Linked DNA regions of Macaca fascicularis. The protein of the gene in region 1 purifies or fractionates together with the protein of each later gene. This does not show direct contact. Links are inferred from orthologs where the notes say so. Each region holds a gene or a part of one and is shown on either strand. Other genes may lie near its edges.

The links.
Region 2: the proteins of VCAM1 (region 1) and MSN purify together in Homo sapiens (affinity purification with western blotting; 3 studies listed by BioGRID, with this or other methods). This does not show direct contact. The link is inferred for Macaca fascicularis from reciprocal best matches to the Homo sapiens genes VCAM1 and MSN.

What each region holds. Positions count from the first base shown.
Region 1 is NC_088375.1:133,683,106-133,688,268, forward strand, and holds part of VCAM1 (vascular cell adhesion protein 1), read right to left. Parts: intron 3,711-5,163; coding exon 3,390-3,710; intron 2,069-3,389; coding exon 1,802-2,068; intron 1-1,801. UniProt on the Homo sapiens protein: Cell adhesion glycoprotein predominantly expressed on the surface of endothelial cells that plays an important role in immune surveillance and inflammation.
Region 2 is NC_088395.1:72,028,607-72,033,769, forward strand, and holds part of MSN (moesin), read left to right. Parts: intron 1-544; coding exon 545-691; intron 692-1,894; coding exon 1,895-1,991; intron 1,992-4,083; coding exon 4,084-4,247; intron 4,248-5,163. UniProt on the Homo sapiens protein: Ezrin-radixin-moesin (ERM) family protein that connects the actin cytoskeleton to the plasma membrane and thereby regulates the structure and function of specific domains of the cell cortex.

The DNA of each region.
Region 1 (5,163 bases):
AGAATTCTTGGATTCTTGGACAAGGGCTCTTAATATGTGTGGAACTGAACAGAACTGCATACATGACTATAAGGAGTGTTGAGTGTACACGAAGGAAAGAATATGTAGTTTGGTCTGACACAATCTGGAACTGGGAGGCTGACATGAGCTTCGTATTGGAGAATGGCTAAGACTTTGCCGGATGAAGGAAGGAGAAAGGCCATTTTAGGCAAAAGGAACAGCATAAGCAGGGGCACCAAGTTATCAACAAAGCTGCAAAGGTAGTTTCTGGCCAGATCATAAAGAGTTCTGTGTGACAGTTTTAAGAAATGGATTGAAGTTATAGAAAATGAGCACCTTTTTGTTTAAGGTAATAAACCCTGGGAGCAGTGCAGAAGATTGATTATTTTAGGGACAGAATGTTAGCAGGTAGACTATTTAAAGATAATTAGCCACAAAATATGTGAAATATTATTCAGCCTTAAAAAACAAACGAGGAAATTCTGTCATTTGCAACAAAAGGGATGAACCCAGAGGACATATGCTAAGGGAAACAAGCCAGGCACAGAGAGACCAGTACCTCATGATCTCACTCACATGTGGGATCTACTTCTAAAGTCATAGAAGTAGAGAGTAGAATGGTGGTTACCAGAGGCTGGGGCAAGGAGAGGAAGCGAACGAGGAGATGTTGGTCAATGGGTACAAAGGTTCAGTTAGACAGGAGAGTAAGTTGTTGAGATCTATTGTACATCATGATGACTATAGTTAATGAAAATATATTGTGTATTTTAAAATACCTAAGAAAGTGAATTTCAAATGTATCACCACAAAAGAATAAGTGAGGCAATGAATATGTTGACTTAATCATTCTACATTGTATACCCATATCAAACATCACATTGTAATCTATAAATGTAAACAATCATGATTTATCAATTAAAAATATTTCTAAAGAGAAATATAAAGATAATCAGCTATAAAATTAAAAAGGCAAAGGGGTTTTCATTAAAATTAAACTGTATTAAAATCATAGTAAATGCAACTAAAGAGCTATTTAGCCCTAGGAAAAGTATGAACTATCCTGAGCCTGGGTTTTTAGTAGTGTTGTGGTAAAGATTAATGAGATAAAATATATAAAGCAGAATGTAGAATTCCTGGGAAACATTAGGTGTACAATCAATAGGTGGCGTCATTATTAATCTCTGGGAGATTCCACTCTCTCATCTGTAAAAGGAATACAAAATACTTACTTTTTAGTTATTTCTTGAAGACGGCATATCTGAAACATACCTGGTGTTTAGTGAATGCTGTTATGTAAGAATATCTTGCAAGAGCCCAAGTGAGAAATGATAAACTAAGGCAATGGCAAGTGGGGTGAAGAAGAGGTCATATTCTGGGGAGCATTTTGAGGTAGAACTGACAGGAATTAACAGCATGGAATTGGAACATGAATTTGGGAGTAATCAACATATTGTAGTCTAATTCTTGGGAGTCTAGCGTGAGAAGAGAAGGGGACCCAGGGATGTAAACTTGAAAATACCAGTATACCAGAGGCAGGAGGAAGACAAAAAGTGAGGGAATGAAGCAGAGAAAAAGTGATTTGAGATGAAAAAGAATCAGAAAAGCAGAGCCATGGAAACTCTGGGAGGGAAGACTTCCAAGAAGTACTAGTAAGATAAACATATATTTGTGCTAAAGGCTATGGCAACCAGATAGGTCATCAGTGAAACTAAGGGAAGCAATTTCAGCATTGAAGCTGTGTGACTATTGCTCAAATCCCAGTGACAGCACCTTTGTCATTCCTTTTTCACATTCTACTCACCTTGAACAATTAATTCCACCTCTTTTCTGTTTTTCCCAATCAAATTAACTCCTTCACACACATAAATTCCAGAATCTTCCATCCTCATAGCAATTAAGGTGAGAGTTGCATTCCCAGAAAGGTGCTGTAGATTCCCATTATCTAATTTCTTACTCCAGAAAATCTCTGGAGGTGGTAGACCCTCACTGGAACAGGTCATGGTCACAGAGCCACCTTCTTGTAGCCTTGTGGATGGATTCACAGAAATAACTGTATTCTTGGGTGATACTGAAAAGGCAAAAAAATAATATTAGCAATTGCTAAGCATCATCCCAGTGCAACAGAGGGAATGTATTTCTCTTAGACAGTATTTATGTGCTTCCACCAATTTGATGAAATTACTCTGCCAAATTAGTATAAAGAACTGCTGAATCATTCAAAATAATCTATCCAGTTTCTGACTAAACTGATCGAGTTTAGTTGATGTTTCATGTTTTTCAGACGGTTATAGGTAGTCAGAAATTAAGAAGAACCATGTGGCTTAACCTCCCACTAAAGGGTAGGAGTCCCATTTAAGCATTCTTGCCAAGTGCCCATTCCAGTCAACTTCAACATTTACTGAGAGAATCAACCCATTGCTTTCCAAAAGAGTCAATTTGATTTTTGGACAGCTCTACGTATTAGCACATTTCTCCCTATTGAGCTGAAATCTTCTCTCTATACTAATTTAAACATATTGGCCATAATTCAGCCATGTGCTGTTACAGAAAAAGGTAAATCACTCTTTCATATAACTGTCTTTCAAATGCTTAATTAGAGCTCTTTTCCAGGTTTTGTATTCTCTTAGGAAAAATATCCTCTATCTTGACTATTCTTCTCAAAATATTGTTAAAAGCCTGCCCAGCTCATTCTCTTTCAGCTAAACATGCCATAGTTGGCAATACTCCTTTTAAATGTAGTGCCCAGTGCAAAACATAGCATTTTAGACTAGAACCGAGCACAGTGAGCCCACTCCTACACAACGCTGGGACTGTAAGACTCCCGTAAATCCCCTGGCAGTATCAGGCAGATTGGAGGCAATCAAACCCCATCATTTTTTCCCTGTCCAATGCACATATGTATGTACGTGCATATGCATACACACACACATACACACACAGAGAGAGAATAACTGCTCACCTTGTCAAGTTTCTGTACCTGTGCAACTAATATTTCAAGGCATACTATAAGAGTTTACAAAACAATATTAAAGTGTTTTATTATTTGAACCTGTTTCTCACTACCCAATCTGGTGGTATGACTATTCCCCTTTTATACCCTGGGAAATAGAGAAATTAAGTAACCCAAACTTACACAGTTAATAGAGACAGAAATTAAGCTCAAGTCTTCTCCATCCAAATCCAGTGTTCTTTTCATTGAATTGTACTATTGGCAAACATTATGTTCTCAATGAATACAAATGGAATACAAACTATATACAAGTGGTTTTTTTTGTTGTTTTTTTTTTTGTTGTTTTTTTTTTTTTTTTTACTTTGCTGCTAAGTTTATTGCTATACACAACCGAGGTGGGATTCCCACAAAGACTGGAACACATCGCACAAGTACTTACTGTAGACTTGCAATTCTTCTACAGCCTCCCTTTCTGTGGGCACAGAATCCATTTCATCAATGTGTAATTTAGCTCGGCAAACAAGAACTTTCCCAATATCTTCAATGACAGGAGTAAAGGTTACTTCCAAACTCTTGGTTTCCAGGGACTTCCTGTCTGCATCCTCCAGAAATTCCTGACTCTTCATGAGATGATCTCCTTTCATTAAGTCTATCTCCAGCCTGTCAAATGGGTATACATCAGCAACCAAACACTTGACTGTGATCGGCTTCCCAGCCTCCAGAGGACCACTCAGATGAATCTCTGGATCCCTAGGAAAAGCTGTAAAGGTCAAACAAATACATGGATGGGCTTTTTGCTCATGGGATATAAGGTCTCTTACTGCTTTAACACAATACAAATCAAGCCTAGTGTTTTTGTTAATACAGTCTTAATACAGAAGAATTGTTTAAATAGCCTGTCATGATTTGGGGTGAGTTCAAGGTGCAAGAATTGGAAGCAAACATTTTTTAGAACATTATTCTATTCTGATCCTGTATATATTAAGGGTTGCATGTTATTACAGTAAAAGAAGGAAGAAAAAATGTTTATATTGAACCTTACATGTGGCTGTCACTGCGCTATAGATTTAACATGAATTATTTTATTTTATCCTCACAACAACTCTAGGAGATAGAGATCACATTTTACAGAAAAGAAGACTTGGACTTAGTACATTTACATAACTTATCTAAGGTCACACACCTAGTAAATGGTAAAGCTGGGATTTAAATTCAGGATTTCTATTACTCGGTTTTGCTACTACAGATTTACATTATGTTACATCACATTTTCTTATTATAGTCAGGGCAGATATATTTCCATTTTACAGATAATGACTTTAAGGCTTGGAATGTCATTGCAAAGAATAGTTATTGTCAAGATATTCTAAGACATGAAAAGACCAACTTTAAGTAATTAGCTTCTGAAAACGGTGCCTCTGATAGGAATTCATCCACCAGAAAGATACATTTGTGCAATCTTTATGTTCTGGAACACATATTTGCCTCCTGAAATGCCTAACTCAGTATCCCACCAAGTGTTCCATTGAAGCTTCTAGTACAAGGAAATGTACTACTTCTTGTAGCCATTGCCTCCTTTGCAAGAGTTACCTTTTTCATTACACATTGTCATGAAGTAACATATTGTAACATATTGGTGAATTCAAAACTCTGTGTAACAAAAAGAATACAAAGGTCTCAACTCTAAGCACTATTACAATCAAATGTGGAAAGGAGACAGAACTGTTATACATAATGAAAACCAGACACTCTTGGAGAAAAACCTCAGGCAAGATAATTAAAGCCAGAAGTGTCTTCATTTATCTTTTTTAAATCTTCAACTATTTGGTACTAGTGGGCAAAAGACAAAGGAGCTGGAAATTCTTTGCTATGTGAAGAAACATGGTATTTTTCATTTTTTCCAGCAATAATTTCTGTCCTTCATATTCTGTAAGAAACGTTCCTCTAATCCACACAGTCTGATGTCAGGTAACATAAGAACTTGCTACTTTTCCCTGTATTTACATAAGGGAAGCTTTTAAGGAGCTCAGGAGGCTGCACAGACATAAACTATGCATGTACAACCAGCATAATTGAAAGCAGCCGGCCAAGCACAGTTTCTTGGGAAGCTTGAGCAACACATGGGGCTTGTTGCAGAATCAATTAAGGTTACTGGGAAAAGTTGGGCTCTGGTACAACAGAATGGAACCAAAGTAATTATAATCAAATGAGGT
Region 2 (5,163 bases), on another chromosome or scaffold:
TTGTTTGTTTGTTTTGCTGAATGGTGGTAACTGATAGCACAAACAGTTTTGACTATCAAGAAATGGAGGGGACCTCAGGATGTCCAGGGAGCTACTGGGCCACCAAGGACTCCCCGCCCCCTGCCAGAAGGAAATAAGGAAGGAGCTCTTAAACATGGCAAAGCATTTTTGAGGGTTGTCTAGTTGAAGGACAAATATCATCATTTTGCCATAACCACATTCTGAGCCCTGCTAAGAATGTGTAAGAGGCTGTCACAATGAATGAGAGAAAGAAAATTGCTTCTGTGGCAGCCAACATGCCAGAGGCCAGCAAGGGTCAACCCATCTTTATTCCCTTTGGGAGCATAGACCCTAGGTTTTTGTTAGGAGATTTTGCTTTGCAAAAGTCATGCTATGCTCTGTTCTCCATCATCTGGTTGCCTTTTGTGCCCTTTCCCACTCCCGATAGCAAGATACTTGTCAGAAGTACAGAGTAAGCAGGCTTTCTCTCTCCTTGGGTCTGACTCACAAGCCCCACTTTGTGACCCCCAACTGTGTCATTTAGGGAGGATGCTGTCCTGGAATATCTGAAGATTGCTCAAGATCTGGAGATGTATGGTGTGAACTACTTCAGCATCAAGAACAAGAAAGGCTCAGAGCTGTGGCTGGGGGTGGATGCACTGGGTCTCAACATCTATGAGCAGAATGACAGGTATATCTCAGATCTCTTTTAGTTTATTTAGGTTATGTTAACATCTAGGGCTCACTTTTCACCAAGGAGCAAGGCCATAGCTCTTGGGTCCCACCTCAGTTCTTTTTCTACCTAATTTAGTCCAGCCCAGATGATTTCACAACTTTCCTTAGGCCTCTAAATCCTGTATTGACTAGACTCACACTGTCAACTGTGGTAGCCACCAGCCACATGGGGCTATTGAACACTTGAAATGTGGCTACTTTGAATTGAGATGTGCTGTAAGTGTAAACTACACACTGGACTTTGAAGATTAGTGTGAAAAACAGAATGCAAAAATGTCTTAATATTTTTAAAAATATTTATTTACATGTTCAAATGATAATATTTTAGATATATTGGGCTAATTAAACTTATTAAAATTTTATTACATCCATTTCTTTTTACTTATTTTCATGTAGCTACTAGAAAACTTAAAATTATATATGTGACAGTCATTATGTTTTTATTGATTTGTGCAGGCCTAGACTGTCTTATCGGGATATATTATGATTAGTCTCCTGTGATAATTAAATGGCTTTTGGCCTATAATCCTCTCACTGTAGCCTTATCTCACTTGCTTATATTTTTCACTTGGTGTGCTCTTGGTGAGAATGGAGATCAATAGATTATTGTTCCATATAACTGCTGAATCTTGGAGTTCATTATTTACGTTTTCTCTAACTTTTGTAAGCTTGGATAGAAGAAACTCAGTTAAATAGGGCTGGGGATTCCCTTGAGGAATTGTTACAAGTTCCATGCCTCAAACAAAAACATAACAAAACAAACTCGAGACAAGGAATCATATGTTAGTTGTAGTATCAGGAGATCCTTTAGTGAACTCAATGCTGGCAACTGACCTGGTGGCATGTGATGACACTGGCTGAGCTGGCACCGAGTCTACCTCCTCCAGAGAGAAGTGTTTGTTTGGCCAAGCTTGGTGGCTCATGCCTGTAATCCCAGCACTTTGGGAGGCTGAGGAGGGAGGATCGCTCGAGCCCAAGAGTTCAAGACCAGACTGGGTAACATAGTGAGACCTCGTCTCTATTTATTTAAAAAAAAAAAAAAGAGAGAGAGAGAGAGAGAGACATAGAAGCTTGGGGGTGATGTGAGGGCAAGCCACCAGTTCTCTACGCCCTTCTTGTCTTGCCCTTGTCCTGATATTATTGGTTTCCATTTCTACAGACTAACTCCCAAGATAGGCTTCCCCTGGAGTGAAATCAGGAACATCTCTTTCAATGATAAGAAATTTGTCATCAAGCCCATTGACAAAAAAGCCCCGGTGAGTGATTCCTCCCTCTGACCAAGACGGGTACTTGCCAAGGCCTTCTATAATGAGCAATCATGCTATTCTATTTTTCTCTTCCTTTGCTGGTTTGTGTGTGTGTGTATGTGTGCGTGTGTGTGTGCGCGTGCATGTGTGTGCACACATGCACGAACAGGAAGCACAGATAGAGATTGGGAATGGAGGGAGATGTTGATGCCAAAAATGGCCAGCAGACATCCTGTACCTGATTCTACTCTGCTACCTGTCTCCCTCACTGTGGATGAGGGAGAGCCACAGGCAGTGTTAAGTACTACTTCTTAGCCGTTGTCTCTGCCGCCCTGAGATTCTGGGGTGGAAACCAAATGCATCTCGTATTTCCAAGCCCCTGGGGTCCCGAAAAGTGGACACTGTTCACATATTTGATTCCTTTCTTTTCTTTTCTTTTCTTTTTTCTTTTCTCTTCTCTTCTCTTCTCTTTTCTTTTCCCCTCCCCTCCCCTCCTCTCCCTCCCTTCCCCTTCCCTTCCCTTCCTTCCTTTTTTGACAGAGTCTCGCTCTGTCGCCCAGGCTGGAGTGCAGTGGCACAATCTTGGCTTACTACAACCTCAGCCTCCCGAGTAGCTGGGATTACAGGTGCATGGCACCGTGCCCGGCTAATTTTTGTAGTTTTAGTAGAGACAAGGCTTCGCCATGTTGGCCAGGCTGGTCTTGAACTCCTGACCTCAGGTGATTTGCCTGCCTTGGCCTCCCAAAGTGCTGGGATTACAGGTGTGAGTCACCATGCCCAGCCCTTGATTTCTTTTTTTTATTATGGAGAAATGGCTGTGACCAGAGAAGTACAAATCCCAAGATGATCCTACAAACTTCTTGGTAGAACTTGACTGCTGCCCTCTCAGACTTTTCTCCAGAGCATTCCAAGACCAAAAAAGTGCTTTAACTTCACTCATTTCTCTAACACACTCGCCACACTTCTTACCCACTCAGTAGCCTGCAGCTAACAAGACCAGACAGCTGGTGATTGTGGTAGGGTAGGAAACTGAGCTGAGTATCTCCTTTTCTGCGATACCTCATGTTCAACAAGGCCCAGTGACAATACTGCGCCTGACCCTTTTCATGAAGGCTCAACCATTCTTCTCCAGCCCTGAGGTGTCTGAACTTTCCCTGCTAGGGACTTTACACGTTGTCTCCTTAAACCCTCAGCAACATGGTCAGGTAGGTAGTAAGTAGCATACTAATTTTATGGTTGACAAAACTGAGGTTAGAGAGATGGAGTGATTTGTTCAAGATAACACAGCTAAAAATGGTAGAACTGGGATTTGTACCTAGGTGATTTGACTTTGAGAGCCTGTGCTCCCTCCACTGCACCCCAAGCTATATGAGACAGTAGCAGTGTGTGGTCAGTGGCAGAGGAGATGGCGGTTAGCCCGTCAGCTGGTGACTTTGGTCCAGTGGTATTTGTAGTAGCAAACTCAAACTCACTGGATTTTCTTGTGTGTTTTCTTTTATTGCTACTGTGCTCAACTTTTATCAGAAAAAGTTGAGTAACAAAGCCAGCTGAGATCAAGGGCTCATTTTAAAAACAACAACCAGGACAAGCAGTGATCAGGAGATTTATGTATTTATATATGTATTTACAGCCTGCCTTGTTCCAAAAAGGATTTAAGGGGCTGGCTCTAGGATTTGCTTTCAGGAGATTGTAGAAACAGTCCAGTCACCCATACTGCACCCACCAGCGTATTGTCAGGGGTCATTTGGCTTCCAAAAGAGGTCACCTGAGACCTAGCATGTTCCCTAATTAGCAGAGAAAGTTTGAATCCTTCAACTTGATTAAGAGTAATTTAGGATGCTTTCATAAGCAAAGATTGAAAGAAATTGTGGGAAGAACACGGGTTTCAGAGTCAAGAAACCTGGGTTTCTAGTCTTTGGTCTGCCTGCTGTCTGACCCTGGGTAAGTCACTTTACCACTCTGATAATTAGTCTTCCCATCTGTAGTGCAGGAGGTTAGATTAGACATTCTTTTCAGTGCTTTTGGATTTAGCTTTTCAGAAGGCAGAAGATCACCTTCACCTGGCCCTCCGAATTCTTTCTGATTGCTGATTTCCCACCAGGACTTCGTCTTCTATGCTCCCCGGCTGCGGATTAACAAGCGTATCTTGGCCTTGTGCATGGGGAACCATGAACTATACATGCGCCGTCGCAAGCCTGACACCATTGAGGTGCAGCAGATGAAGGCACAGGCCCGGGAGGAGAAGCACCAGAAGCAGATGGAGCGGTAGGTGCTGCACACTGATGTGGGGGGCCAGGGCTGGGGCAAGGAAGCTTCTCAAAGGTACCCAGCCTGCTAAGTCAGGACATGAGGCCAACCTAGGACTTCATAGATAAGAGGTTAGACACCAATGTTCACATTTATTCAGAAAACATTTACCAAGTTTGAGGGGCAGTTTTTACAGAGCTGGATCTAGCAGGAACCTGCCCTGTAGGACCTCACAGTCTACTCAGTCTAGTAGCAGAGAGAGGGAAAACAATATATACATAACTCAAGGTACAAACGCCATGCCATTCATTCACTTAATAAATATTTATTGAGCAATGAATAAGAAAAGACCAAAAATCTCTGCTTTTGTGAAGCTAGCATTCTAGTGGGGAGGAGACAAACATAATAAATAAGCAAATTATGTGGTACATAAGATGGTTAAGAATTGCTATGGAGAAAAAAACATAGAAGAGGGGTGGGGAGAAGGGTAAGCCAAGTATTCTGAGGGCTCAGATGGAGAATACCTAGCCAAGGGAGATAAGAAGGTTCCTGGAAGAGGTGCTAGGGCAAGAAAAAGCAAATACCTATTCCAGATTTGTAACAAACTCTGGGAAAAAGAAGCCTAGAGCTGGGCTTTAGGGCAGACAGATTTGGACCTGAGGACTGATGCACTAGCCATAGAGATTACTGGACTTGAAGCACTTCATCCCAGCAGAGAGCCAAAACTTGTCTCCCTACAAGGTATATAGGGCAGGTCTTATTGGACCATTTTCAAGATAGGGGAACAAGAGCAAAGCAGTGACATAGCTAAGGTCACCCAGTGGGTTGGTGGGAGAGCTAGGATTCCTGACTCAGGGGCACATTGACAGGGCCCCGTGTACACTGGCCTATGTGGGGCTGTGATATGAGGACAAAGGTATAGAGGTAAGGGAGG